4 linked regions of the Pelodiscus sinensis genome follow. The protein of the gene in region 2 binds, or shares a complex with, the protein of the main gene of each other region. Links are inferred from orthologs where the notes say so. Each region holds a gene or a part of one and is shown on either strand. Other genes may lie near its edges.

Region 1 (7,729 bases), on a different chromosome or scaffold from region 2:
GTGCTCTAGGAATGGCGATGCAAAGAAATTGTCTTCTCTACTATCAAAGCGGTAGCTGTGTTCGTCTGAATCTGCAAAAGCGGCGAGGAGTCCTGTGGCACCTTAGAGACTAACCGAAGTGTTGGAGCGTAAGCTTTTGTGGGCAAAGACCCACTTCGTCAGATGCATGTAGTGGAAATTACCAGAGGCAGGTATAAATATGCAGGCCAGGATCAGGCTGGAGATGACGAGGTGGATCCAATCAGGGAGGATGAGGCCCACATCTAGTAGCTGATCTGGAGGTGTGAATTCCAAGAGAACAGAAGCTGCTTTTGTAGTTAGCGAGCCATTCACAGTCTTTGTTTATGGCTGAGTTGATTGCAGATGAACTGTAGCTCAGCAGTTACTCTTTGAAGTCTGGTCCTGAAGTTTTTTTTGCTGCAGGATGGCTACCGTTAGATCTGCAATTGTGTGTCCAGGGAGATTGAAGTGTTCCCCTACAGGGTTTTGTATGTTGCCATTCCTAATATCTGATTTGTGTCCATTGATTCTTTTACGTAGGGACTGTCCAGTTATCTTCTCTACTGATTTGTTTTCAGTATGACTAACCCTGAAAAGGGACTGTCCCTGCATGATGTCACAAACGTATTACAGGTGAGTGAGGTAATGTCTTTTATTGGAAAAACTTCTTTCTCACCCACCTTGTCTCTCTGATATCCTGGGTCCAACATGACCACAAAATTGCAAGCCACAGACATATGATGGGCCCCTCCTGTGATTCCAGGAACACTGCTGCCCTCTGCTGGCCCCAGGAGAGCACTACATGAATATCGGTGCTCCAAAAATCGTTTCTAGGGGATGTCATGTCACAATAAAACGTCCATGCTGGCCATGGTCAGCTGGTTCACTGAGATTGGGCTTGGGGCTACAAAACTACACAGTAGGTTTTCATGGCTCTGGGGCAGCATGAGTATGGATGAAAATCCCATTTAATCAGTTAACTGGGTAAACGTTGTGTTTAACTGGTTAACCGCTTAACTGGGATCCCAGGGGAGGAAGCGGCTGCCCACCCAGGCTAGAACACCCCCTGCCTTTGGTGTGGTGGGCTCCACTGTGCTGCTCCATTCTTCCTAGGCCACCAGTTAACTGGTTACCAGTAAGCATCACCTGGCAAAGGTGATGCTTAGTGGTTAACCAGTTACAGCCATACTCATGAGCAAGGAAGGTCCCAGAGTTTGGGCCCAAATGTCTGCATTACAGTTTTAGAGCCCCAAAGCCTGAGTCCTCTAGGCCAGATATAAGCCAGTCGGGGAGAGAGGGGGGTTATTGTAGTGAAGATCTCCCCCTTCTCCTCCAGCCATCCTGCAGGTCAGATCCTACGACAATGGAACAGCACCCATGAAAGATTAGGCGTGGCTTAACTGCTGTCTATGAGTATCTGCATGGAGAACAACTTTTTATTATGGAAAAGCAACAAGGAGTCCTGTGGCACCTTATAGACTAACAGATGTGTTGGAGCATAAGCTTTCGTGGGCAAAGACCCACTTCGTCAGAAGCATGTAGTGGAAATTTCCAGAGGTAGGTATAAATATGCAGGCCAGAATAAGGCTAGCGATAACGAGGTTCATTCAATCAGGAAGCATGAGGCCCACTTCCAGCAGCTGATGTGGAGGTGTGAACACCAAGGGTATGTCTAGACTACAGGGTTTTATCAACAGAAGTTTTAAGCTTCTGTCGACAAAGAGCGTCTAGACTACATCCAGTTCTGTCGACAAAGCAAGCTGTTTTGTTGACATAACAGTGTGGACGCAAAGGACAGTGTAGATGCAATAATGCCTTCTATCGACAGAACTCTGTCAACAAAAGGCGTTATTCCTCGTAGAATGAGGTTTACATACGTCAACAAAACTGCTGAGTTTTGTTGACGTTATGTCGACATAACTCAAAGGCAGTGTGGACGCAGGTATAGTTTTGTTGACAAAAGTCCACTTTTGTCGACAAAACCCTGTAGTCTAGACACACCCCAAGAGAGGAGAAACTGCTTTTGTACTTGGCTAGCCATTCACAGTCTTTGTTTAATCCTAAAGTGATGGTGTCAAATTTGCAGATGAACTATAGCTCAGCAGTTTCTCTTTGAAGTCGGGTCTTGAAGGTTTTTTGCTGCAGGATGGCTATCTTTAGATCTGCTACAGTATGTCCAGGGAGATTGAAGTGTTCTCCTACAGGTTTTTGTATGTTGCCATTCCTAATATCTGATTTGTGTCCGTTTATTCTTTTACGTAGGGACTGTCCGGTTTGACCGATGTATATAGCAGAGGGGCATTGCTGGCGCATGATGGTGTATATTATATTGGTAGATGTGCAGATGAATGAACTAGTGACGGTGTGGCTGATTTGGTTAGGTCCTGAGATGGCGTGGCTGGTGTAGATATGAGGGCAGAGTTGGCACCGAGGTTTGTTGCACGAATTGGTTCCTGAGTTAGTTACTGTGGTCTGGTGTATAGTTACTGGTGAGAATTCTCCTTGACTGAATTAACCTCATTATCTCTAGCCTTATTCTGGCCTGCATATTTATACCTGCCTCTGGAAATTTCCACTACATGCGTCTGACGAAGTGGGTCTTTGCCCATGAAAGCTTATGCCCCAATACATCTGTTGGTCAATAAGGTGCCATAGGACTCCTTGTCACTTTTGCAGATCCAGACTAACATGGCTACTCCTCTGATACTTTTTAATATGGGGCTCCTCCATCTGGCAGAGAAAGGTCTCACAACCCAACCACTGGAAGTTGAAGCTAGCCTAATTCAGACTGGAAATAAGGGGTAAATTTTAAACAGCAACAGTAGGGTTACCAATCTTCCAGGTCTGTTCAGGGTGGAGTTTCTGGGCATTAAAGATTAATCTTGAATTAAAAACTAGGTCGATGCTCAGTGGGAATAATTAACCATCAGAACAGTTCACTGGGGGTCCAGGCAGATTCTCCATCAAAGACCATTTAAAAATCAAAATGGGACGTTCTTCTTCCAGATCTGCCTTCGGAATTCATTGGGGGCAGTTTTCACACCCCGCCTGCCGACTCCACGGCTCCCATTGGCCGGGAACCCCAGCCAATGGGTGCGGCGGGGCAGTGCTTGCCTGTGGGCAGGAAGAGTGCACTGAAAACCCGATTGCCCCTGTGCCTAGGAGCCAGGCATGCAGGGGGGCTGACAGACAAGGGCAAGGTGGTGGTGGAAGCCTTGCTCTGGGGTCCTGGAATGGGTGAGGCCTTGCACAGAAAGGATAGGACTGGGGGCAGCACCGCCCAGAGTGCGCTGCAGCAGCTCTCTGTCCCCCACCACTCCCGGCAGCCCTCAGAGCTGTGCAGTGCTCTGGGGGGGCCTGGGCCAACCGACCCATTTCACCTCCCCGTTGGCACGTCTGCAGGCATGCCAACTGCTCCCTTTCCCCTCCCCCCATGCCAACTGCTCCCTTTCCCCTCCCCCCATGCCAACTGCTCCCTTTCCCCTCCCCCTATGCCAACTGCTCCCTTTCCCCTCCCCCCATCCCAACTGCTCCCTTTCCTCTCCTCTCCCCCCACATTGGCGGGCCTGCCAGCTGCTTCCAGGATCCACTGGTGGGAAGCACCCCAATCTCCTACCCCAGCCCTAAGTACCCTCCTGCACCCCAAAGCCTTCATCCCTGGTTCCACCCCAGAGCTCACTTGACTCCCAGTTGGAGCCCACATTCCCCGCACCCCAACTCCTCACCCCAGCCTTGAGCCCCACCACTCGCGAACTCCCGCCCAGCGCCTGCACCCCAACCCCCACCCCTGCTCCAGCCCAGGGAAGGTGAAATGAGGGTGGAGGAACAGGAGCCACATGTGTGTGGGGCTGGGACCTGGGAGGCAGGGGCAGAACCCCATAGAAGGGGGGGACAGAGCCTCAGGGCAGGTATGGGGGGGCTCAGAGAAAGGGGGGCAGGGATGTCTGCAGTGGACACTTGGTAGCCCCACTGGCTGCCACACGCCTTTGCCCCCTGCCCAGGCCAGGAGCAGGAGGGTGCCTAGGTGCAGGCACTGCCAGTGCAGTGAAGGAAGAGAACTGGGGCACACTGGGGGGGGGGACTGAGATGACGCTGATGGGCAGGGGGGGCTGAGACGCATGGGGGGGCAGGGGGTGGCACTGAGGGGCTGGAGAGACACTGAGGGTCACTGAGGGGGCTGGGAGGCACGGGGGGGGGCTGAGGGGTCACTGAGGGGCTGGGGGGGTCACTGGGGGGGCTGGGAGGCACGGGGGGGGCTGAGGGGTCACTGAGGGGCTGGGGGGGTCACTGGGGGAGCTGGGAGGCACAGGGGGGGCTGAGGGGTCACTGAGGGGCTGGGGGGGTCACTGGGGGGGCTGGGAGGCACGGGGGGGGCTGAGGGGTCACTGAGGGGCTGGGGGGTTACTGGGGGGGCTGAGAGGCGCTGGGGGGGTCACTGGGGGGTCACTGAGGGGCTGGGGGGTCACTGAGGGGGCTGAGAGGCGCTGGGGGGTCACTGGGGGGTCACTGAGGGGGCTGAGGGGCCGGGGGGGGGCCGAGCCCCACACGGGCCCCTTGTGAACCCGCCCCTGGCCCTACCCAGCTGGCCCCGAGGCGATGAGCTACACCCCCTGCGCGCATGCGCGGCCAGCCCAGCGCCCTCACTCCCCCGCCCCCCGCCGGGCATCCGCTCCCGGCAGGCTGCGCGCGGCCAGGCCCCCGCCCGCCGGCCGCAATGGGGCGGGGCGGGGCTGTGACGGGCGCCGGGAAGAGCCAATCCGACGGCGACGTCCCCGCCCCGGGCCGTCCCTGCGGGCCAATGGGAGGAGGGGCGGGGCCGCCGGAAGTGAGTGCGGCGGGTCGGCGGCGGGGAGCTCGGGAGCCGTAGCGGCAGCAGGTGAGTGTCCCCCCCCCCTCCCGGGGCCCCTCAGAGCCCGGCTCCGCCCCCCCGCCGCGCCCCGGTGGGTGCTCCCGCCGGCCGGGCCCGTCGCCTCAGGGCCCGGCCCGTGGGGGGGGCTGAGGGGGCAGCGCAGGCCCCCGATAATGGGGGGGGGCCGAGCCCCCGCGCACAGACCCGGGCGAGCCCCCCCCAGACTCGCTGCATTTGGGCCCCCCCGGTGGTGTGACCCCCCCGCCCCGCGCGGTTACTGAGCACTGCGAGGGGCACCGAGACCCTCCTGCAGCCGGGCGGGAGCCAGGTTCAAATCCGCCTCGTGGTGCTTACCGCGTCACTGAGGGGGGGGGAGGAGGGCTCCCCAGCTCCATAAACCCCCAATTCCAAAACCGGTTCTTTGGAAATGTGGTGCATTCACACCGAGCCACGTTTCGAGAGAACGCGCCGTTTGGGGGCAGCCCTCAGCCCGGGTTCCACTGGGATGCTGGAATAGCGCCCGCTGGCTTGGAATAACAGGCACCTTTAAAAGATGCGGAGCAGCGAAATAGCCCCGCTGGCTAGTGTCCCCAAATAGCCCCGCTGGCTAGTCTCCCCAAATAGCCCCGCTGGCTAGTGTCCCCAAATAGCCCCGCTGGCTAGTGTCCCCAAATAGCCCCGCTGGCTAGTGTCCCCAAATAGCCCCGCTGCCTAGTGTCCCCAAATAGCCCCGCTGGCTAGTCGTGCCTTAGGAAATTAGGTCCGTATACGTGCATCGTGGCTTGTTAAGATATGGGGTAGCTGTTTTGGGATACCTCCATTATCCTGAAATAGCTGTGTAGTGTAGACGTACCCTGACGGATTTCATCCCCTTTCTCTTGGGTTTAAGGACACATTCAAGTCAATTTAAGCGGCATTGTAATTTCAATGGAATCTGTGCAAGTTTTAGTGGATGCTAAAATGTCCAAGGTTGATAGACTGTAAAATAAAGCCCCTCAACCACAATCCTCCTCCCAGGGGAATCAGTGGGAAGTTTGATACTAAGTGCCCCAGCCTCACTCGCCAGGGTGAGAGTTGGGGCTCCTTTCTCGTGGTGTTTTTTTGTTTTTAAAGGAGGGGAGAGGGTGTTGAAGTGTGTTTATATAGAGGGTGTTAAACTGTGTCTGATTTTAAATTGATCCTTGAAGTGTTTCATCTAAAGCCAGAGCTGTGTGATCCGGGGTTGGTAATGGACCTGATGGCGTCTTCTGTCTTTGTGACTAGTCTGATGTGGCTAAGAGTGGCAGGGGTGGAGAGCTGAGGCCTGCTCACTGGCCTATGTGAAACACAAGTGCCTGACTCTCATAAAATACCAAACATAGCACCCTCATCTGCAGTCTGACAGAGATTCCAAGCACTGAATGCATGTCAAGGCTGAATCCTGCTTGTATCTCTCAAGGCTCTTCCAGTCTAGGGCATGTTAACTAGTGGGAGGAAAGCTCAGATTCTTTGCTAATGTTGCTGTGCCTGTTCTTTGAGTAAACAGAGAACTTGGGTTTGTAATTTTGATAGACCAGTCCCTACCGGGATTGATAGATACTAAAGGTGGAGCTAAATACCAAAGCTGATCGTAAAAATGTATCTTGCCACATTTCTAGAAAAGTCCATTTTCCAGTAGCTCCTAGCACAGGAAGTTATTTCAGAAATTGCTGTTAATATTGCAAGTCCACTGGGGGATCTGGATGGGGTAGGTGATGTATTTCTAACGATGACTTTAGATCCCATTTGCTGAAAGGGGAGTATTTAGATATGCAGTAAAACTAATTTATAACTAGCTTACTCTTACATTTTTGTGGGTTGTTCCATAGGTAGTTTCATCTGCCACAATGGGTGAACCTCAGCAAGTGAGTGCTCTCCCTCCACCTCCAATGCAGTATATAAAGGAATATACAGATGAAAATATTCGGAAAGGTCTAGCTCCCAAGCCGCCTCCACCTGTGAAAGACAGCTACATGATGTTTGGTAACCAGTTCCAATGCGATGATCTCATTATTCGACCCTTGGAAAGCCAAGGCATTGAACGATTGCATCCCATGCAGTTTGACCACAAGAAGGAACTGAGGAAACTCAATATGTCTATTTTGATCAACTTTTTGGACCTCTTGGATATCTTGATAAGGAGCCCGGGCAGCATAAAACGGGAGGAGAAACTGGAAGACTTAAAACTGCTTTTTGTCCATGTCCATCATCTTATAAATGAATATCGACCCCATCAAGCCAGGGAGACGCTGAGGGTTATGATGGAGGTGCAGAAACGGCAGCGCTTGGAGACAGCGGAGAGGTTTCAGAAGCATTTAGAGCGAGTTGTAGAGATGATCCAGAACTGCCTGACCTCCTTGCCTGATGATTTGCCTCATTCAGAGGGAGGGATGAGGTTAAAAACTGAGCCCATGGATATTGATGACAGCAACAATTGTATTGGACGGACTGAACAGCGCAGAGAAGTTGCTGGCTGCAAGAAAGAACAGGTTTTAGACAAAGATGCTGCTATGTGTAGCATTATTGATGAAATGACATGAGAAGACACTCTTGTAATTGTACAGAATTCTTGGGGACATGAAGTGGACTGGCTAATAGAAGTCATATGGAATGGTTTGTTTGTTTTTTGTTGGAGGTTTTTTTGCTGCTTTTGGTATCTGTATATATAAATCATCAAGGAATTTAGTGTATATAAACATTTAACCCAGAAATCTTATTTTTGTAGACCTAGGTAAGGTTTTTGCAGTTGACCAAACAGAAGCATTGCTTGAAATTTTGTAGATGTAATTTCTATGGTGTGCTGTTTCGAACAGAAAAGCTTTAAATCTTGTGAAATATTTTGTTGAAACAAGTGCATCATGT
Region 2 (7,677 bases):
TGTACAACAACAGAAATACTTAGTTCTTACACAGCACTTTTTAGCCACAGATCGTTAAGTTCTTTAAAGGGAAGCGCAGGATCATTTCCCCCATTGTACAGATAGAGAAACTGAGGCACAAAAAGATGCTCACGGTCTCCAAGCAAACCAGCAGCCCAGCTTGGAAGAGAATCCAGGTCTCTTTAGTCCCAATTTATAGCTCTAGCCGCCAAAGTATTCTGCATCTCTCGGTGTCAGTAATAGCCGAGCAAGTTGTTGCAGCCAACAATCATGCTATATACTCCACTCTTCCCAAGATTTACACGCTTGGCTTTAAGCACGAGTCGTCCCTGTGAAGGGCTCCACATGTACACAAGTCTTTGGACCTTCCATTTCTATTTGGGAGTTTTTCAGCCCAGACATAGAAATGCAGGTAAACATAATACAACTGCTGCAGTTTGCTTATCTGGGTGATATGTGTGTCTCGCTTTGTACCACGCACATAACACAGACACGTGCACGCAAACAGTCAAACAAAACCAAATCCTGACCTGCCAAATTAAGTATGTCCCACGTGGCTCCTTTAGGGAAGAATTTCTTCATGTTTATGGCCCACTGGTAATCACTCCACCGTTCTCTCCAGGCCTGGAGAATGGCCTGTTTTAGATTGACAACCTTCATCTTTCTGTTCTGAAAGGCAGAGAGAAGATACAGCAGCTTGTTCATAACAGCATTTCTCACCCACTCCCCTCTCACCCAAACACTTCTCCTGGGGCACTGTCAATCAAGCACACCTTTTATTTCTATAACAAAGGATTCACTCTTAGCAGAAGGCAGTGCAACCTGGTTTATGCAAGAGGCTGGGAGCCAGGACTCGGCAGCTCGGAGACCATTATAAGTAGGGCCCTACCAAATCCACGGTCCATTTTGGTCAATTTCAGGGTCACAGGATTTTTTAAATAGCAGATTTCATTATTTCAGCTATTTGAATCTGAAATGTCAGTGTTGCGATTGCAGGGGTCCCCTGATGTGAAAAGGAGTTTTGGGGGTGAGAGGACACCAAATTATTGGGGGAGTTGTGGTACTGCTACCTTGTTCTGGACTGCTGCTGGCAGTGATGCTGCCTTCGAGGTGGGCAGCTGGGGAGTTGGATGAAAGCTGCCAAAAGCAGCAGCACAGAAGTAAGGGCAGCATGGTACCGTATTGCTACCATTTCTTCTGGCTGCTACCAGGGTGCTGCCATCAAAACTGGTCATCTGGACAACAGCCGCCACTCTCCAGCTACCCAGCTCCTCTGAAGGCAGTGCAGAAGTAAGGGTGGCAATGCCATGACACCCCTAAAATAACCTTATGACCCCCCCCCCTTGCAACTTCTTTTTGGGTCAGGACCTTCAGTTTGAGAAATACTGATCTCCTTTGTGAAATCTGTACAGTAGAGGATAAACGCACACAAAATACCAGATTTCATGGTCAGAGACACATTTTCCATGGCCATGAATTTGGTAGGGGCCTAATTATAAGGAAGAGACAGTAGCCCACTGATCAGCTCATGGGAGTATTGGGCGCAGGGGGTCATAAGTTCTAATCACATCAGGATGAATAGAGCATAGGGTGTGGGTGGAGTGGGGGGGGGGGGAGAATCCTGGGTTCCCTTCCTGCTCCCAGATCTGGGAAACAAGTGAGGTCTAACATTTAGAGCAGAAGGGTAGGGAGCCAGGGCTCTTGGACTTCCCAGCCGTGGGAAGGGGCAGGCTCCTGTGGCTAGAGGAGAAGGTGTGAAACCCCATCACCCTGCTTCCCCATCTGCCCCAGTGGGGCAGTCCCAGGGGGCACAGAGATGTGCATGTGTGAGCCCTATCACCTACCAGCACCCCTTTAACTTGCTTGAGGGAGGGAGGGGCACATCTACATGTGGGGGCGTTGCTCCCGCCCCCCAACACATACACCCGGGTGCTGCCCCTGCCCCCACACGCATGCACCCGGGGCACTTCCCCATGCCCCCCACATACATACACCCTGGGGGTGCTCCCCACAACCCCCCCCCACATATACACCCAGGAGCACTCCCCCCACATACATACACCCCAGGGGTGCTCCCAACAGCCCCCCCCACATATACACCCAGGAGCACTCCCCCCCACATACATACATTCTGGGGGTGCTTCCCACAGCCCCCCCCATATACACCCAGGAGCACTCCCCCCCACATACATACACCCCAGGGGTGCTCCCCACAACCCCCCCACATATACCCCCAGGAGCACTCCCCCCCACATACATACACCCCAGGGGTGCTCCCCACAGCCCCCCCCCACATATACACCCAGGAGCACTCCCCCCCACATACATACACCCCAGGGGTGCTTCCCACAGCCCCCCCCACATATACACCCAGGAGCACTCCCCCCCACATACATACACCCCAGGGGTGCTCCCCACAGCCCCCCCCACATATACCCCCAGGAGCACTCCCCCCCACATACATACACCCCAGGGGTGCTCCCCACAGCCCCCCCCACATATACACCCAGGAGCACTCCCCCCCACATACCTACATTCTGGGGGTGCTTCCCACAGCCCCCCCACATATACCCCCAGGAGCACTCCCCCCCACATACATACACCCCAGGGGTGCTCCCCACAGCCCCCCCCACATATGCCCCCAGGAGCACTCCCCCCCACATACATACACCCCAGGGGTGCTTCCCACAGCCCCCCCCACATATACACCCAGGAGCACTCCCCCCACATACATACACCCCGGGGGTGCTCCCCACAGCCCCCCCATATACACCCAGGAGCACCCCCCCACATACACACACCCCGAGGGGGGCGCTCCCCCCCTCCCCACATACAGACAGGGGCCGCCCCCTCACCTTTCAGGCCTCACAAACAGCGCCTCCTTCGCGCCCTGGGCTCCGCCATCTTGGCACCCACCAACACGCCCTCCACTGATTGGCTGGACGCGCGCCGCGCGCCGCGGAGGCTGCTGGGAGCGGTAGTTTTCTGAGGCTGGCGGCCCAGGAGCGGGGCTCTCTCTGGCTGCCGGCGGCGGCGGGGGAGGCGGTCCCATCCACAGACATCGGGCCGCCCCTCTGACTGGGGGTGGAAGGGGCAGTGGCATTTTCCAAGCTATAGGGCAGAGGGTCCCAATTTTATTTGCAGAGAGGTAGCGGTGTGCGTCTGATCTTGGTAACACACAAAAAAAGCAGCCACGTAGCTCTGTGAATAATGAGATAGTCTTGTTAGTCTTTATAGTGCTACCTGACTGCTTTTTTGGTTTTACCCATGTTATTGGGCAGAATTTTGCAGCACCCCGAATAACAGTCTAATATATGGAGCTGAAAAAGTAGCCCACAAATAAGTAAGGATCGTCATAAACAAATGCTAAACAAGGTCATGCGATCAACACACATGAAAATTGTTTTCAATCCAATTCATAAATGCTTAAATATTATTTTTTTCTTTAAATCATAAAATGTGGTTGTAATGGAATTTTCTTGCGGAACCCTTATTTTCACTTTGTGGAACCCCGGGGTTCCGCAGAACCCCATTTGGGAAACATTGTTATCAGGAATTTCAGGATTTTTTTTTTTTTCTGGTTTTAAATTTTTCATTACCGCATTGCTGAAGATGATCAAATCACAGCTCTAAGAAACTCACCCAGCCTGGCTGCAAGGGGTGGGATGCGGGGTGGGGGGAGAGGGGCAGAGCGTAGAGTTGCCAGGGGTCCGGTTTTGAACCGGACAGTCTAGTATTGGAGCTTTCTGTTCGGGAAACAAATTGAGAAAATAGAAATGAGAAAATAGAAATGTCCGGCGTTTTCTAAATAAGATGGAATGCAGATTGTGATGGAATGTCAAGTGTGTTCGGTATTTTTGTTGAAACCATCTGGCAACCGTACCAGAGGGTCCCTGCATGTTAAGGACAACCCTGCCCAGCAGTTGATGAGAAGGGGAGAATAGCAAAAGAGGGTGTCACCAAAAGGGTGGGGGTCACTGGCCCTGCACCCCGCTCCACAGCCAGACATAACTCTTCGCCGGCAGGTCGGTCAGAAGGGTTATTGGTTCACAGGGACACAGCGTAGCACAGATGTGTCAGCACAGGACCAGAAGCGGCCGGCACCATCCGTCTTGGGGAGAGGGGAGCCCAGAGCCCTGGGCCCCCTCCCTGGATCCTAAGCCAGACCAACTCACACCCTGCAGGCAGCCCCACCTCCTTTGTCCAGCTTCCCCTGCAAAAGGTGTCACCTGTTTGTACACACACCCCCTCCCAGGCTCATGTTACAGTGAGTCTGGGCCATTGTGTACATGAGGGGCTGGGGCAGCCTCCCCTCCCGGAGAGTCACATCCAAAACTCCCATTCCCGTGTGGGCACCAGTGCGGCGCCTAGGGAAACTGAGGCACGCCCACACAGAGCAGTATAGGACAGTAGAAATGACATGCAACATCCAAAATCGAACCGAGTGCATCCAACCCCCAAAGAGGGAAACTGGCTTTTTGCAGTGAGCTAGCCACGTGCTGTCTCTGTTGAGACGCAGTCTGACAGTGCCTAGTTGGCTCTGTACGGCTGTGTGTGCCAAGAGCCAGGCAGGCACTTCCCAAGCACGCAGGAAGGCCGGCACCTGCTCACAATCCGAGGCATTAAAAACCTCACCAGTCTCTCCTCCATTTTAGTTGGGATTGGTCTTGCCTAGAGCAGGGGGCTGGACTTGATGACCTTCTGAGGTCTCCTCCAGCTCTATGGTTCTATGGTTCTATGATGGACTTGCCTTGGTTTGCACAGAGTTCGGACAGGGCCCGGGGCACCGGGCTCGGCTTTTCTCTCGTCCTTTCCAACTGCTCCAGCACGTTTAACGAGGCTAGACGTGTTTAATAATTCACTCCGTCCTCTTTTCCCCAAGAAAGCATCGCTCCAGCAACCACAAAGATCAGGGCCGTCAGCTCCAGGACCACAGGGGACCCTTGCGGTCACCTAGTCTGACTGGCCAGGCCACAGGATCTTGCCTAGATCATTCCTAGAGGGGGCTCTTGTAGGGAAAAAAAATCCAATCGTAATTTGAAAATGACCCGGGACGGAGAAACCCCTGTGGATGTGATAGGGACTTGGAAAGGGGGTGAGAGCCAGGCCAGGGGGACGGGAGGGGAGATTTTCTTGTACTCTCATCTCTCCCCATCTGTTGTCTCCTGTATTAGATTGTAAGCTCTTTGGGGGAGGGATTAGCTCCGTTTTCGGTGTCTGTACAGAGCCCAGCGCCACGGTGGGGTGTCACTACAGCAATGCAGAGAAAGAAGAAGATCGGGGGTTATCCGCAAGGAGGGACATTGGAGAGCCTTCTGGAATACGCTGGTATTTGTACCAGTTCTTTGCACCTCTCTACGCCGTAGGGAAGGGTGCAACTCAATGGTGGGCAACCTGCAGCCCACGTACGGCCCTTTGGAGGTCTATGTGTAGGTGGCAAGATTGTGCTGGTTTTCGCCCACGTTGGTTTTTTCCTACCGGTATTGCTCACAGCTCTGCCCGCGCCTCTGAAGGGACACAGCCTGGCGGGCGTTTGTTCGCGTCCCCGTCTCGAGGGGAGGTGGCAACGCCAGGGTGGAATTGCCCTGCCACGGCCAAGCGCACAATCAGCGTCCTGCCTATCCACTCCCAGGTGGAACCTGGCACAGGCCGGCTGAGGAGCTGACGCCCCCGCCCCCTTTGCTGTGTAGCGCCTAGTGGGCGGAGTGATTTGGGGAGGGGCCACCGACTCCTGCCCAGGAGCCAGGGACTAGTGAATTGGGGCTCCGAAGAGCTGGCCAGGTCTGTTCCTCTGCCCTGCAGCTGTGCCCAGCCCCCCCACGCCTGGTCTAGCTGACTACACTCGCAGGGGCCTAGGTCCCACTGCAGATTTCACGGGACAGCTAATAACAGGGGCCAGGTCTCCTGGGTCCCTTGATTTGGCGGCATTGTCTTGGATTCCTGCTCTTGGGAAAGGGGTTCACCAGGCTTGTCTCAGACACGCAACCCACCAGCCTCTTGGGGAGAGGCTACAGCCGTGGTGACCCATGCGCTAGCGGCTAGCCACGGGCGGCTGTTTGGCCGGTTGAACTGGCTGGACACCATGATGCGAGTGGGAGGCCAAATAGTATCGACACCCCCACGGTGGGCGCCCTGGGAATTCCACGGCAGAGCTCAGGGCTTAAGCTAGAGGAGTCTCCCCATTGGTTATTAATGATATAGGGGCCTATGACACACATTTGGGTCATTCGGATTCAGTCCAGCAGGGGGCAGCGCATGCATGCACATGCTCTCTCTCTCTCGTGCAGCTCCCTCCAGAGTCCCCCCGAGACCCACAGCTGCATTCTACCAGCACTGTTCTCGTGGGCCCTAGCAGACACAGCTGCACTGCCCGTGCCCACGCACTCTACTCAGCACTGCAGTGGGAGCTGCGTGGGAGGATGCTCTGGACTGGCAGTAGCCGAAACCGCAGGGAACGTTCCCCCCAGCATAGCAGCTGGGCTGGGGCCTCTCTTCTCTCTCTCTTTCCTGGCATCTGTTTCCCCCCGCAACATGCCACCCACCCTCCCGGGCTGGCTGGCTGGTGCGCCCACATCACCGGCTCCCCCTCCCCGAAAGCCAGCGTCTCCCCGTCACATGCCCTGCGCTCACACCAGAGACCTGTGTCGTTCGCCATCTGCCAGAGAAATTGGGCAGCGGCTTGGAAGGGAACCTGGAGGAGGAGCCGGGTCCCTGGCAGCGTTAACCCAGAGAGCTGGCAGCTCCGGGCGTGGGCTCTGCTGCAGACGGCCACGGGGCTGGGCCAGGCCAGGCCCTGGTGCCACGGACATGCCAATGGGGGGGTTGGCCCCTTGCTCCATGGTCGTCCTCGAGGATCGTGCATCTCAAGGTGCAGACCAGGCCACGTTTACAGCGTGGGCTGAACGAATTCTAGCGGGCGCCGAGGCGCAGCCAAGAGGCAGACCAGGCCCAGCCTGGGTGGGCTAGCATGAAACGGCCCCTGGGCGTGAGGGCGCAGCCTGGTTTTCAGCAGGGCCGGACACCTGCAGGTTCCCCACCGGCAAAGTACCGAGGATGCCGCAGACCGAGCGCTCGCTGGCCCTGTCTGGGGTGAATGGCACCACGGCAGCACAACCAGCTACTCATCACTGCCCCCTGCAGGGTGGAATCACCAACTTCTCGGGGCCGCGTGTCATAGGCCCCTTACTGCTAACGGAGATTCCCCTTGCGCTGTCATGCCAGGGGTCTGGCCTGTCAGCACGGGAAGCCCTGAGATCTAGCACTAGGCAGTTCTGTGTCTCTGTGCTGGGGCAGCACAGAGCCGTCTAGGTCGAAGTCCCTTGCTTCCATGCAAGCGGCAACCCACCTCTTCGCCTCTCTTGTGGCTGGGCAGGATGGTGCTCTTTGCCTTTCCCCCGCAGCAGGGAGCAGAGGACAGAGGCTCAGAGTAAGGATCAGCCACACGAGTCTTACAAAATTCTCCCCCCCACCCACCCCACCCCGGGTCTTCATCTGCTGCCTTGGGACCTTCCCCCATCCCACCAGCCCTAGCCCAGAAAGGGACTTTTCCCCTCACTGCTTGTTCAACAAGACAACCCCGAGACCCGCTCAGGGCCAGCCCACAGCTGCCCCGGCCCACATGGTCACAGGCTAAGCAGGTGAGCGTTCTTGGCTCCATGTCCCACAGGGAAACCGAGG
Region 3 (7,808 bases), on a different chromosome or scaffold from region 2:
CATAAATATTTTATTTTCACTGACATTTTTGCCACTAAATGTTTATTTTTGCATCTGTTAAAACTTTGAATTGCTCAGGCCAGGAGAGACATGAGGTCAGCAATCCAGCACTGACCTGAATTTAAAACACATTCTGACAAAAAAAAGTTATTCTGTGCTTCAGTTTCCTTATAAACTAACAGTTCTACACATTTTAGCCACTGTACTAGTCCAAAAATTCTTTATGAAACAAATTGAAGAGCAAATGCAGGACAAGAAATGTATCCATCTTCTGACTGCTTGAAGACCTTTACATGGAAACTGAGATCAGAACTGTACAAGTCCAACCTCATGACCAATTAATATAATGACTGTCAGGAAATACAAGATTCTAACATATGGATTGGCAGCTTGTCCAACAAGCAGTAAGACACCACATTTCACTTCACACGGCTTTTTCATGTGTTTTCTCAACTGCCTGGTATCATTGAGAAACTGCTCCCTGCCAACTGCCCTTTCTGAAACATCCCTTACTCTAAAGCACTTGCAGCATGCTGCAACTTAGCTGTCTCTATTTAAACTCTAACCAATGCTTGTGGATTAATTGACTATGTAAAAATCAATTACATGAAGATTTACAATTTCGGCTAACTATTTCGGGATCATTAACAGAAGACCAGTGTACAGTATATTTTAAGGTTACCACAGGTTATGAAGGATGCATAGGAACAGAAAATTAAAGAAGATAAATTGTTCTAAAATATTATGTGTTGCCCCATGGCCTATTAAACTGAAACATCCCGATTTCATGAGTTCGTAGACAGCATAATAGGCCAGATCTCATTTAAAACAATGTTATAAGTGATCGGGCTGATTATTTTCAGATTACATGCACATCACACTGCAGCACCCTCAGAGTGCTTTCACTTAATTATCAAATTTGTTACTATGATACATAAATCTGCTTCTAATAAATAGAGACCTCTAAGAGATGGGCATGTGAGCTTGGGTTGAACTGAAATATCTAATTCCATTTGGCCTATAGTCTCTAATGCTTGACAAAGCCCTGGTTGGGTTGATTTACTTTGGATTGGTCCTGCCTTTGGCAGGGGTCTGGACTTGATGACCTCCCTGAGGTCTCTTCCAGTTCTATGATTCTGTAGCAAGTGGAATGAATACTTTGACATGCGGCATTTGACTTGATGCACATTTAGGCTTCACCATAGCCAGCCTCAGATGTTATGAGTTGAATTCTACTTTGCAACCCAGACTCTGATGTGTTGGCTGCTGATCCAAATTAACCCTACAACTCTATACACCATTAATTTGAAACAGAAAATTAAGTACAACTCGTAAGCTTAATTATTCACAGTAACAGGTAAAAGGTATACCAGCTTTTCTGGGCTTATACCGTGTCCTCAAACTAGTTGATAAAGTTCATCATATAATAAAAGGTGAGGCCAAAAAAAAAAACACACAACAAACGTCTTACCCCGAGCTGTAAATAATTCAGGAACCCACAGCGTGCTTCTGCCCTAAACCTAGAGATGGCCCCAAAAGTTTCAAGGGTCCCACAATCCTGTTATTTCAATCTAGGATCTTATTTGGGACACTAACCTGCAACAAATGAAGTCCCTGAGCATGGGTGCTTGCGAGTCAGGGAAGAGAAGGAGAAATGAATGAAAAGAGCCCCTTCTAGGGTGTGCTACCTATAGTACAGTGGAGAACAGCGGGATGTACGGGGAATGCCCCCAGCAGGTGACCATGTTAAAGGGAGACAGAGAGAGACTGGAACACTGGATAAGAAAGAGGAGGGAAAGTTCTCTCATAGCAAGGATGCAGAACCCGCTGGAAGCATCCCCAGAGTCTTTTATGGGGTGAAGAAGAAACTGCAGGGACCCCCCCCCTTGGGAGTGCAATCACCGAACAGCATCAGGAGGGACACTGGATGCTCTGCAGCCGCCTCCTAGCAGCTCCTAGCCGGAAAGGTCCGGGTCGCGCCGCTTTCCCAAACGAGCCAGCTCGGAAAGCCCATTACAGACAGGGAGCCCCCTGCAGGCCGCACCACAGCCTCGGTGTCGAGTCCGGAGCTCGGTCCGACACCGCACCGCATGGCCGGCTACCACCTGCCCCCTCCCCCAGCCATGCCCGCGGGAGTGAACTCACGGAGCCAGCCTGGCCCCTGCGCCACAGGGACCGGCCCTCGCGGGAACCCCGGGCCGAGGGGCGCGAGGACACCGGCCCGGCGCACGGGGAGACGCAACACCCGGGACTCCGCAACACCCGAAGAAGCGAGTCTCGAAACCCAGCGCCCCTCGCACCCCCCCCCCCCCCCCGCGGCAGGAGTTTCCGGCGCGGGGCTGCTCCGCGGGGAGGAGGCTCCGGAACACCCGGGACCCGGCACTCCAGCTGCCTGCGGGAGAGGCGCCTCACGCCAGCAGGAGCCCACAGGCATCCCCGGGGGGCAGCCCCCTCCCCGGGGGGCCCGGCCGGGGGGGCAGCCCCCTCCCCGGGGGGCACGGCCGGGGGGGCAGCCCCCTCCCCGGGGGGCACGGCCGGGGGGGCAGCCCCCTCCCCGGGGGGCAGCCCCCTCCCCGGGGGGCACGGCCCGTACTCACATTACTCTGCGGGTCGATGGCCTGCAGCAGCCGGTCCCTGATCTGCTGCGGGGAGGGGGCCGGAGCCGCTGTCATTGCCTGGGCGAAGCGGGGCGGCTGCGGCCGGGGCGGGCGGGCGGCGGGGCCGGGCCGGGCCGGGGCGGCGGCTCCTCACTCGCCGGCGGCAGCCTCCTCAGGGAGCCGCATGTTCGCTCCCCGCTCGGCGGGGGAGCGGCGCTCGGGGCCAGGCGCGACCGCGAGGGGAGGCTCGAGGCGGCGGGACTAGGCCGGACCCGTCTGCTCCACTGAGGGCCGAACTCAACTGTGGGCAGGATTCAGAGAGCCAGCCCCGCGCAAGGCACCATGGGACACGCCCGACGCCGTCACGCACGGCGCGTCTGTGACGTATGCGCGCACAGGCCCCTGGAAGGAGAGCTCGCGCCTGGGGACTCGTTCGCAATACGCATGCGCAAGGCGGGGCCGCGGCGCTCCGCACACCCTGTGTCGTGCGCTGCACCGTGCCGGGGAGGCGGCTGTCGGGCTGCCCTGGAAACCCGGCCTGGGCCGGAGCCCTGCAGCATTGCGGCCGGGCGGCAGCAGGACGGGCATGGCAAAGGTGCCCAGGAAGCCCGAGACTGCGGGCTCAGGCGCTGACTCGGGAGGGGGGAGTGTCCTGCAAATCCGGAGCGAGACAGCGAGTCTCGCTACCGGCTCGGGCTATCAGCCCTCGTGCTGCTGAGATACACCGAGCAACTCCCGTCGGGCCACATGCACGGGCTTGGGGACCCGCGGACACGCCCCTTGGCTCCTGCTCTCTTTGCATCATGAAAGCTCTATAACACGAGGGTGTTTAAGTGTCTGACAAGTCCCAGATTCCACAACAGATTGCCACTAGACAGATGCCAGGTGTTTTTTTTAAATGACGTGTGATCAAATGAAATGTTTCGTTTTCACAATAAAAAGAGCACATGGATTTTATTTTAAAAAATGACGCACATGGGGATTTCCATTCATTTTTACTGAAGTGATTAAAATGATTAAAGAAGCTACTGCCTGCATAATGTAAGCCCTCCTGGAGAGGACTGAGTTTACAAAATCTGAAGAAAACTGTTTTCTAAAGATATTAAATTGATAAGAACAGATCTCCAGCCTCCCCACCTTTTGATATTTGTAGTGACCCCAGATTAGCCACTTGATTCTTACAGTAAGAAATTTCCTACTTTCTTGTTACCTCCTCTCCCACCTCCACCTCATTCCCACCTTTTGTTCTACATAGCTGATTTGTCATTTTGTAATTTTTTACTTTTTTCATTGTATCCTTCTGTTATATAATGGTCATGCCAGTTCGCTTTCAGAATATGATCTGAAGAAGTGGGTCTGCCCCATGAAAGCTCGTCACCTAATAAACTATCTTGTTAGTTTTTAAAGTACTACAAGACTACTTTTTTTTCCAAGACCAAATTAACACGGCTACCTCTCTGTTACTATCCATTGTGGCTGTGTCTACACTGGCATGAATTTCCGGAACTGCTTAAAACTGCCAGTTTTTCCGGAAAAGGAGTGTCTACATTGGCAGGCTGCTTTTCCGGAAAAGCCCTTTTTCCGGAAAAGCGTCTGTGGCCAATGTAGACGCGCTTTTCCAGAAAAGAGCCCTGATCGCCATTTTCGCGATTGGGGCTTTTTTCCGGGAAAGACTACTGGGCTGTCTACACTGGCCCTTTTCCGGAACAGTGTTCCGGAATAAGGACTTATGCCTGAGCAGGAGCAGAATAGTTTTTTCCAGAATAGCAGTTGACTTTATACAGTAGAGCATCGTTGCTTTTCCGGAAATTCAAGGGCCAGTGTAGACAGCTCGCAGCTTATTCCGGAAAAGCGGCTGATTTTCCAGAATAAGTGGCCCAGTGTAGACACAGCCCGTGTGTTACTGTAATACACAGAGGCTGTGTCTAGACTGGCAAGTTTTTCCGCAAAAGCAGCTGCTTTTGCAGAAAAACTTGCCAGCTGTCTACACTGGCCGCTTGAATTTCTGCAAGAACATTGACTTCCTACTGTCTGAAATCAGTGCTTCTTGCGGAAATACTATGCAGCTCCCGTTCGGGCAAAAGTCCTTTTGCGCAAAGCTTTTGCGCAAAAGGGCCAGTGCAGACAGCTCAGATTTGTTTTGCGCAAAAAAAGCCCCGATTGCGAAAATGGCGATTGGGGCTTTTTTGCAAACGCGTGTCTAGATTGGCACGGATGCTTTTCCGCAAAAAGTGCTTTTGAGAAAAGCATCAATGCCAATTAGACGCTCTTTTCCGACAATGCTTTTAACGGAAAACTTTTCCGTTACAAGCATTTCCAGTAAATCATGCCACTCTAGACGTAGCCTATATGTAACTGATCAGAAAAGCTGATGGAGAGAACCAGTATTGCTAGAGACAACAGGGAAGGTGAGGAGCACTGAACATATATGTTTGGACTCCCTTACCCAAGTAGCCTGAGAACCCAGCCAGTAGCTGGGGAGGACTGGTTACCCAGCTCAGGCTGACCAGAGCCATCACCCCCAGCACCCTTTTGGCCAAGGGACAGAAGCCCAAACGCTGACAAGGACAAGTGGGACCTATGCCTGTACTTAGCCTGTGAATTTGTGGACTGAACAGCAGTCTGGGGCCCAGGACTGGTACTGACCTTGCTACACATGATTCACTGACAATAAACCTGGCTGGGCACCTTTGCACTTTAACGGATCCTTTGGTCATTGGGCCATTCAAGTTGAGATCTGCTTTGCCAACTATCCGTGCTGAACTGGTACAGCACACAGAGAAAACAAATGCATGTGCCCCTGGCCATGTCTGACATCATCCCTATGCCCAACATAGGCATTTAATTTCAGAAACGAGAAGTACATAAAAATGAGGTTAGTTAAACGGAAGTTAAAAGGTCCAGTGACTAAAGTCAAATCCCTCCAAGCTGCATGGAAACTTTTCAAAGACACCATAACAGGCTCAACTGAAACGGAGAGGCGGCCCGTGAGCCTAGGCGAACTAGGCAGTTGCCTAGAGCGCCGCTGCCCCGGATGCCCAATGATGACGTCATGGCCATTGACGGCCAAGCAGGCGGGGGCAGCGATTGCGCCACCCGCCTGGGGTGCCAGCTGCCATAGCCGGCCTTGGGCCATTCCTGCTGAAATGTGTATCCCAAATTAAAAAACCAAACAAGTGCCACTGTGGCTTAAGAACCAAGTAAAAGAAGCAGCGAGAGAAAAAGTCATCGTTTAAAAAGTGGAAGTTAAATCCTAGTAAGGAAAATAGAAAGGAGCATAAACTCTGCCAAATGAAGTGTAAAAATATAAGTAGGAAGGTCAAACAAGAATTTGAAGAACAACAAGCCAAAAACTCAATTTAAGTACAACAGTAGCAGGAAGCCTGCTAAACGATCAGTGGGGCCAGTGGACGATCAAGATGCTAAAGGCACTCAAGGACAATAAGATCATTGCGGAGAAACTAAATTAATTCTTTCATGGCTGAGGATGTGAAAGAGATTCCCAAACCTGAGCCATTCATTTTAGGTGACATATCTGAGGAACTGTCCCAGACTGAGGTGTCTAGAAGAGGTTTTGGAATAAAACTGATAAACTAAACAGTAACCAGTCACCAGGACCAGATGGCATTCACCCAAGAGTTCTGAAAGAACTCAAATGTGATAGTGTGGAACTACTAACTGTGGTGTATAACTTATTCTTTAAATCATCTTCTGTACCAAATGACTGAAGGATAGCTAATGTGATCCCATTTTTTTAAAGGGCTCTAGAAGGGCATGTTTACACTACTGAATTATTTCAAAATTACTCATGTTATTTCAAAATAACAAGGCGAGTGTCCACACAGCAAATGTGTTGTTTCGAAATTATTTTGAAATTATTTCGAAACTAGATGGAGTTACCTGGCGTTGCTTGGGAAACCAGAGGAACAAAATGTAAAAAAACAGTAGTCCATTATTTTTGTTTGAATGGTAGATTCAAACAAAGATTTAATCCCTGATTTCTATAGGGATTAAAATATAGGTCCATGTCATCCCGGGGGGGGAGGGTGCGACCCCGGATTGAGGAGAGGTTTTATGCGCCCCAACTCACGCCTGGGGCTGCAGGTTCTACATGGGGGTAGGGTGGGTGCCCAAGCTGCTGTGCACGTGGGGGTCAGGGCACTGTGTGCCGGTGCGGGAGGGGGAAGAGGGTCGCTTATGTAACTTCGCAGGTGGGAGGGGGTGAGTCCCAGACAGCGCAGGGGGCTACAGGCAGCGGGCACGGGACCTACGGTGGGTGCAGTGGTTTACTTTTTGATTTTTACAGCTTGAGCTCAGGTCCGATCGGGTCCAAAAGTACCTTAAAACTTTCTCCTGGATAAAAGGTTATCCCATGCAAAGTTTGGTTGCAGTAGCTCTTACAGTGTCCAAGTGATTAGCACACAAACATAAACATTCTCCTTTATATGTTAAATAACAGGCTTCTTATTCTGAAATAATAAACCCATTTCATGAGCAGTAACACCCTATTTCAAAATAACTATTTCTAAATAGGCTACGTTCAGATGGCACAGCTGTGCCTATTTCAGAATAATTGGCCTCCAGGGCGTCTCACAGCTGGCCTCTCTTTCCATGCCCCTCACAACGCTAAAGCGTACTTTTTCCTGCAGCCTTTAAAGGGCAGGCAGAAGGGAAAGTGCTTGTGGCATGACACAGGCCCTGTTCACACCATGCCACACAGCAGCACTCTGCTCTGCATCCCTTGCTGCAGTGAGCAACCCCAGCACTCCCTCCAAGCCCTCCACAGCTGCAAGCGAGCCTGCAGCACCTTGGAAGCCCCTGGGGCAGAAGAGGGCCCCATCCTGGACTAGTGTGGAGATCCCGGATCTCATCGAGGTCTGGGGAAAGGAATATAATCTCCAGGATCTCTGCACCAGGCACAGGAACGCTGATGTCCATGGATGAATGGCCACAAGCCTGGCCCAGAAGGGGCACACCTGCACCCAGGAGCAGGTGCGGATGAAAATTAAGGAGGTCTATCAGGCCCATGTCAAGGCCAGGGAACAAAGTTCCTGATCTGGAGTGGCACCCAAGACCTGCTGTTTTTATGCCCAATATCCTGGAAGGGGGTTGTTGGGTTCTCCCCACACCTTATCTAGACTCCAGCCTGGCCACACCTGTCGTTAACCTCCAGGAGGGCAGGGATGTGGACCAGGATGAGGGGGGAGGTGG
Region 4 (7,022 bases), on a different chromosome or scaffold from region 2:
ACTGATCAGTTTCAGCAGCAGCTGACTTGGGGATGCCTGGGTTTCTTAAGTTGAATCTGTATGTAAGTCAGAACTGGCATCCAGATTCAGCCGCGGTTGAAACTGATCAGTTTCAGCAGCGGCTGATGCCAGTTCCAACTTACATACAGATTCAACTTAAGAACAAACCTACAGTCCCTATCTTGTACGTAACCCGGGGACTGCCTGTATCTGCATTGACACCCATGGATGCAAATACCCCACAGATATAAAGCAAATATCCACAAACTTGCACGGTTCTAGAGATAAAACTTCTGTCAGCATCTGCAAAAATTAACCATGGTATACTCATGGATATAAAGCAGATATCCACAGATTTGCAGGGCTCTATTCATGCAATTTAGGGTAGGTGGAAAACCTACACCATTATTTATTACTCTGTGATTTGTATTGTCATTTGAGATCAAAATGACTTCCTGTGTTTTTGTCCTGGAGAACTTTTTCTATGGCCATTTTTATGCTAATGAAGCGCGGGAGATTTAAATCCCTACTTCATTAGCAATTGCGATACGTCTAATTTGCATCCCTTTTCTGAAAAAGGGATGTAGTCTAGATTTAGTGGCTACGTCTACGCTGGCATGATTTTCCGAAAATGCTTTTAACGGAAAAGTTTTCCGTTAAAAGCATTTGCGGAAAAGCGCGTCTAGATTGGCAGGACGCTTTTCCGCAAAAGCTGATCAGAGCTTTGAAATAAGCCCCGCCACTCCCCCTCTGCCCCTCCCGTCAGAGACCCCCCCCGGGTGCCCCCGCCTCTCCCCCTCAGCCCTCCCGTCAGAGACCCCCCCCGGCGCCCCCGCCCCTCCCGTCAGAGCCCCCCCCCCGGGGCCCCCGCCCCTCCCCCTCAGCCCCTCCCGTCAGAGACCCCCCCCGGGTGCCCCCGCCTCTCCCCCTCAGCCCTCCCGTCAGAGACCCCCCCCCCCAGCGCCCCCGCCTCTCCCCCTCAGCCCTCCCGTCAGAGACCCCCCCCGGGTGCCCCCGCCTCTCCCCCTCAGCCCTCCCATCAGAGACCCCCCCCGGCGCCCCCGCCCCTCCCCCTCAGCCCTCCCGTCAGAGACCCCCCCCCGGCGCCCCCGCCCCTCCCCCTCAGCCCTCCTGTCAGAGACCCCCCCCCCGGGGCCCCCGCCTCTCCCCCTCAGCCCTCCTGTCAGAGACCCCCCCCGGGGCCCCCGCCTCTCCCCCTCAGCCCTCCCGTCAGAGACCCCCCCCCCAGCGCCCCCTCCTCTCCCCCTCAGCCCTCCCGTCAGAGACCCCCCCCGGCGCCCCCGCCTCTCCCCCTCAGCCCTCCCGTCAGAGACCCCCCCGGGTGCCCCCGCCTCTCCCCCTCAGCCCTCCCGTCAGAGACCCCCCCGGCGCCCCCGCCCCTCCCCCTCAGCCCCTCCCGTCAGAGACCCCCCCGCACCCCCACCCCCACCCCTCCCCCTCAGCCCTCCCGTCAGAGACCCCCCCCGGCGCCCCCACCCCTCCCCCTCAGCCCTCCCGTCAGAGACCCCCCCAGCGCCCCCGCCCCTCCCCCTCAGCTCTCCCGTCAGAGACCCCCCCCCGGCGCCCCCGGCCCTCCCCCTCAGCCCCTCCCGTCAGAGAGCCCCCCCCGGGGCCCCCGCCCCTCCCCCTCAGCCCCTCCCGTCAGAGAGCCCCCCCCCGGGGCCCCCGCCCCTCCCCCTCAGCCCCTCCCGTCAGAGACCCCCCCCCCCGGGACCCCCACCCCTCCCCCTCAGCCCCTCCCGTCAGAGACCCCCCCGGCGCCCCCGCCCCTCCCCCTCAGCCCCTCCCGTCAGAGCCCCCCCCGGCGCCCCCGCCCCTCCCCCTCAGCCCCTCCCGTCAGAGACCCCCCCCCGGCGCCCCCGCCCCTCCCCCTCAGCCCCTCCCGTCAGAGACCCCCCCCCCGGCGCCCCCGCCCCTCCCCCTCCCGTCAGAGACCCCCCCCCCGGCGCCCCCGCCCCTCCCCCTCCCGTCAGAGACCCCCCCCCCGGCGCCCCCGCCCCTCCCCATCCCGTCAGAGACCCCCCCCGGCGCCCCCGGCCCTCCCCCTCCCGTCAGAGACCCCCCCCGGCGCCCCCGGCCCTCCCCCTCCCGTCAGAGCCCCCCCCCGGGGCCCCCCCCCGGGGCCCCCGGCCCTCCCGTCAGAGCCCCCCCCCGGGGCCCCCCCCCGGGGCCCCCGGCCCTCCCCCTCCCGTCAGAGCCCCCCCCCGGGGCCCCCCCCCCGGGGCCCCCGGCCCTCCCCCTCCCGTCAGAGCCCCCCCCCGGGGCCCCCCCCCGGGGCCCCCGCCCCTCCCGTCAGAGCCCCCCCCCGGCGCCCCCGCCCCTCCCCCTCAGCCCTCCCGTCAGAGCCCCCCCCCGGCGCCCCCGCCCCTCCCCCTCAGCCCTCCCGTCAGAGCCCCCCCCCGGGGCCCCCGCCCCTCCCCCTCAGCCCTCCCGTCAGAGCCCCCCCCCGGCGCCCCCGCCCCTCCCCCTCAGCCCCTCCCGTCAGAGCCCCCCCCGGGGCCCCCGCCCCTCCCCCTCAGCCCCTCCCGTCAGAGCCCCCCCCCGGGGCCCCCGGCCCTCCCGTCAGAGCCCCCCCCGGGGCCCCCGGCCCTCCCCCTCAGCCCCTCCCGTCAGAGCCCCCCCCCGGGGCCCCCGGCCCTCCCGTCAGAGCCCCCCCCCGGGGCCCCCGGCCCTCCCGTCAGAGACCCCCCCCCGGCGCCCCCGCCCCTCCCCCTCAGCCCTCCCGTCAGAGCCCCCCCCCCGGCGCCCCCGCCCCTCCCCCTCAGCCCTCCCGTCAGAGCCCCCCCCCGGCGCCCCCGCCCCTCCCCCTCAGCCCTCCCGTCAGAGACCCCCCCGGGGCCCCCGCCCCTCCCCCTCAGCCCTCCCGTCAGAGACCCCCCCCGGAGCCCCCCCCGGGCCGGCTCAGCGGGGGGGGGGGGTGCCGCCGCCGCTCCGCTCACCTGCATGGCTGCATCCTCTGAAGACACCGACCCCCTCCCCCTTCTACTTCCGGGTCGGGGGTGAGAGGTCAGCGCGGGCCGGAAGCGGGGCCGGGCCGACATGGCGGGCAGCGAGCGCGGGGACGCGGAGGTACCGACCCGGCTGCGGGGGGGCCGTAGGGCGGTGAGCTGGGGGGGGGCCCGTTGGGCGGGGGGGGCCGTAGGGCGGTGAGCTGCGGGGGGGCCGTAGGGCAGTGAGCCGGGGGGGGCCGTAGGGCGGGGGGGCCGTAGGGCAGTGAGCCGGGGGGGGCCGTAGGGTGGGGGGGGCCGTAGGGCAGTGAGCCGGGGGGGGCCGTAGGGGTGGGGGGGCCGTAGGGCAGTGAGCCGGGGGGGGCCGTAGGGCGGGGAGGCCGTAGGGCAGTGAGCCGGGGGGGGCCGTAGGGTGGGGGGGCCCGTAGGGCAGTGAGCCGGGGGGGGCCGTAGGGTGGGGGGGGGCCGTAGGGCAGTGAGGCCCGGGGGGGGGCCGTAGGGCGGGGGGGCCGTAGGGCAGTGAGCCGGGGGGGCCATAGGGCGGGGGGGGGCCGTAGGGCGGTGAGCTGGGGGGGGGCCGTAGGACGGGGGGGGGCCGTAGGGCGGTGATCTGGGGGGGGGGCCGTAGGGCGGGGGGGGCCCGTAGGGCGGGGGGGCCGTAGGGCAGTGAGCCGGCGGGGGGGCCGTAGGGCAGTGAGCCGGGGGGGGCCGTAGGGGCCGTAGGGCGGTGAGCCCGGGGGGGGGGGCCGTAGGGCGGGGGGGCCGTAAGGCAGTGAGCCGGGGGGGGGCCGTAGGGCGGGGGGGCCGTAAGGCGGTGAGCCGGGGGGGAGGCCGTAGGGCGGGGGGGCCGTAGGGCGGTGAGCCGGGGGGGGCGAGGGCCGTAGGAGGCGGGGCGGGGGGCCGTAGGGCGGTGAGCCGGGGGGGGGGCCGTGGGGGGGGAGGCCGTAGGGCGGGGGGGGCCGTAGGGCGGTGAGCCGGGGGGGGGGCCCGTAGGGGCGGGGGGGCCGTAGGGGGGGGGGCCGCTAGGGCGGGGGGCGTAGTGCAGTGAGCCGGCGGGGGGGGCCGTAGCACGGGGGGGCCGTAGGGCAGTGAGCCGGGGGGGGGGCCGTTAGGGCGGGGGGGCCGTAGGGCGGTGAGCCCGGGGGGAGGCCGTAGGGTGGGGGGGCCGTAGGGCGGTGAGCCCGGGGGGAGGCCGTAGGGCGGGGGGGCCGTAGGGCAGTGAGCCGGGGGGGGCCGTAGGGGCCCGTAGGGCGGTGAGCCCGGGGGGGGGCCGTAGGGCGGGGGGGGCCGTAAGGCAGTGAGCCGGGGGGGGCCGTAGGGCGGGGGGCCGTAAGGCGGTGAGCCGGGGGGGGAGGCCGTAGGGCGGGGGGGCCGTAGGGCGGTGAGCCGGGGGGGGGGCCGTAGGGCGGTGAGCCGGGGGGGGGGGCCGTAGGGCGGGGGGGCCGTAGGGCGGTGAGCCGGGGGGGGGCCGTTAGGGCGGTGAGCCGGGGGGGCCGTAGGGCGGGGGGGGGCGTAGGGCAGTGAGCGGCGGGGGGGCCATAGCGCGGGGGGGCCGTAGGGCAGTGAGCCGGGGGGGCCGTAGGGGCCGTAGGGCGGTGAGCCCGGGGGGGGGGCCGTAGGGCGGGGGGGCCGTAAGGCCAGTGAGCCGGGGGGGGCCGTAGGGCGGGGGGGCCGTAAGGCGGTGAGCCGGGGGGGGAGGCCGTAGGGCGGGGGGGCCGTAGGGCGGTGAGCCGGGGGGGGCCGTTAGGGCGGTGAGCCGGGGGGGGGGGCCGTAGGGCGGTGAGCCGGGGGGGGGGTGCCGTAGGGCGGGGGGGCCGTAGGGCGGTGAGCCGGGGGGGGGCCGTAGGGCGGTGAGCCGGGGGGGCCGTAGGGCGGGGGGGGCGTAGGGCAGTGAGCCGGGGGGGGGGGCCGTAGCGCGGGGGGGGCCGTAGGGCAGTGAGCCGGGGGGGGGGGGCCGTAGGGCGGGGGGGCCGTAGGGCGGTGAGCGACGCGGGGGGCCGTAGGGCAGGGGGGCCGTAGGGCAGTGAGCCGGGGGGGCCGTAGGGCGGGGGGGCCGTAGGGCGGTGAGCGACGCGGGGGGGGCCGTAGGGCGGTGAGTGCGGGGGGGACTGTAGGGCGGGGGGGGTCGTCACGGTCTCCGCTCGTACTGTCCCACGCTATGGTGACTGGTTTCCATTTGCTGCAGATGGAAGAGGCAGGCCAGGTCTTCCTGCTGATGAAGAAAGACTATCGGATCTCCCGCAACGTGCGCCTCTCTGGTTTCTGAGTCACCTGCGCCAAGTCATTTGTGCTGTGCCTGAGTGCGAGCTGGTGAGTATGCAGGCTCAGGATTGACGTAGGGGGCTGTGACCTGTGCCCCCGGATTTGGCAGGTTGGCCGTGGAGGAGAGAAGATGTAGGCATTTTTGGTCAACACTGCTCCTTGGGAGTCTAGAATCCCTGTGAAAGCCTCTCGCCTGGGTATTTGTTCTCTCCTCTTCCTGCTCGTCTGGATGCCTGGCTTTTCCTCACTTGCTGCTTTTCTCCTGCAGGTGAAGTCTGATAATGAACTGGATATTCTCAGCATCCTGCCAAATGGGTGGCAGCCACATGAGTCTGTCCGGCCCAGGCCCTACCTCTTAGTACCCTCCACGCAGGTCACCTTCCTGGCACGACAGTACCGCTTTGTGATTGAGCTTGATCTGAGCCCGTCCACAGGCATCGTGTGTGAGCGTGCAAGGGGGACCTCGGGGCTCTCTCACACAGAGCTCCTGCCGCCAGCTGTGTCCCATCTTGGTGCCAGGCGAGCTTGGCTCCCACTTCCCAGCAAAAGCTCCATGTGCCAGCAGCTGCCACTGGCTGGAATCCCACCCTTGTGCAGGTTGTCTGTGCTTGGGTTTTGCCTGGTGGGCACTGGCCCTCACGGGTTGGGGCTCTGCGGAATGTTTCCAGGAGGGCGCGTGGTGGAACGCTAGGTGCTAGGGACCCCCGTCAGTGACACTGGAAAACCAGTTACTGTTTCACCCTTCGTACTTCTGCAGGATGACTCCACGGGGGAGATAATTTTTGACGAGGTGTTCCATGCCCTTTCCCGGTGCCTCGTGGGATTGCTCAAACCCTTCCGAGTCCCTGGTTCAGAAATCACCTACCAGCCAGAGATCTTTGTCACCATCCAAGCATATTCTTCCATCATTGGTCTGCAGTCCCACCAGGTACAGTTCCGTCTCCTTCCTCTCCCCAGTCTTCGTGTGCCAGCTCTTCTTGTTGCCCAGGCTGCTGGGGACATGCAGACGGGAGTTGCGTGCACACTGCTGCTTATGGTGAAGTAGTCTTGGCCCCTCGGAAGCTGTGTTCTGGTGCAATGCTAGACCGTAAGGTCGCTACTCTGTTGTGTTTGTATAGGCCAAACCTCAGCCTCCGGCCCCGATGGGCAGTGCCAAGCAGAGACGGGGATCTGTGGGCAGGAGCCTGCAGTTTATTAAGGGAAATTCATCCCAGATATTCTTTGCCCCAGTGTAAGTTGAACTTTCCTTAGTAGCATTTTTTTGAGTGGCTGCCTAGTGAGATTGGACTGTAGCTCAGGTGCTCCCTAACCCACACATGCAAGAGCAGTTCCTGAATGCCAGGTGGTAGGGCCAGAAGGCACCCAGGGAGCTAATTCCTTCCAGGCCAAACCTCAACCCTTAAACGTCAATGCACTGCCATGCCATTTGCAGATCATCAGGCTTCTCACCCTGCTGGCGTGCTGTGTCCCTTTGTGTGTTCGGGCTGTAGGCTGCTTGGGGCAGGCACTGCCTGTTACTCCTGGGGGAGTCCTGCGCCCTCTGGGGGGTGCAGAATTCCTGCCTTCTGCAGACTTCCTGGCTCCCATACAGGAAAAACGGGGAGCAAAGAGCTAGCTGTGTGGATGTGTGCTCCTTCCGCAGCAGCTTGGGTGTGTCTGCTGGGAGTAGCAGGCAGCAAAGACTAGGGATGTAAGTGACTAGCTGACTAGTAACTAGTTTACTCGATCGGCCCCGCCCCTTACTGCCTCTATCAGACAGAGGCAGGGAGCAGGAGCTGGTGCTGGGGGGAG

The links.
Region 1: MED24 (region 2) and MED7 share a complex: the UniProt entries of both Homo sapiens proteins name them as parts of the mediator complex. The link is inferred for Pelodiscus sinensis from reciprocal best matches to the Homo sapiens genes MED24 and MED7.
Region 3: MED24 (region 2) and MED26 share a complex: the UniProt entries of both Homo sapiens proteins name them as parts of the mediator complex. The link is inferred for Pelodiscus sinensis from reciprocal best matches to the Homo sapiens genes MED24 and MED26.
Region 4: MED24 (region 2) and MED8 share a complex: the UniProt entries of both Homo sapiens proteins name them as parts of the mediator complex. The link is inferred for Pelodiscus sinensis from reciprocal best matches to the Homo sapiens genes MED24 and MED8.

Annotation. Positions count from the first base shown.
Region 1 is NC_134727.1:39,200,471-39,208,199, reverse strand, and holds the start of MED7 (mediator of RNA polymerase II transcription subunit 7), read left to right. Parts: upstream 1-4,723; 5' UTR 4,724-4,876; intron 4,877-6,696; 5' UTR 6,697-6,714; coding exon 6,715-7,407; 3' UTR 7,408-7,729. UniProt on the Homo sapiens protein: Component of the Mediator complex, a coactivator involved in the regulated transcription of nearly all RNA polymerase II-dependent genes.
Region 2 is NC_134739.1:11,072,964-11,080,640, reverse strand, and holds the start of MED24 (mediator of RNA polymerase II transcription subunit 24), read right to left. Parts: upstream 3,007-7,677; 5' UTR 2,856-3,006; intron 670-2,855; 5' UTR 661-669; coding exon 531-660; intron 1-530. UniProt on the Homo sapiens protein: Component of the Mediator complex, a coactivator involved in the regulated transcription of nearly all RNA polymerase II-dependent genes.
Region 3 is NC_134729.1:30,941,979-30,949,786, reverse strand, and holds the start of MED26 (mediator of RNA polymerase II transcription subunit 26), read right to left. Parts: upstream 3,011-7,808; 5' UTR 2,673-3,010; coding exon 2,598-2,672; intron 1-2,597. UniProt on the Homo sapiens protein: Component of the Mediator complex, a coactivator involved in the regulated transcription of nearly all RNA polymerase II-dependent genes.
Region 4 is NW_027465825.1:9,102-16,123, reverse strand, and holds the start of MED8 (mediator of RNA polymerase II transcription subunit 8), read right to left. Parts: upstream 3,005-7,022; 5' UTR 2,967-3,004; coding exon 2,961-2,966; intron 1-2,960. UniProt on the Homo sapiens protein: Component of the Mediator complex, a coactivator involved in the regulated transcription of nearly all RNA polymerase II-dependent genes.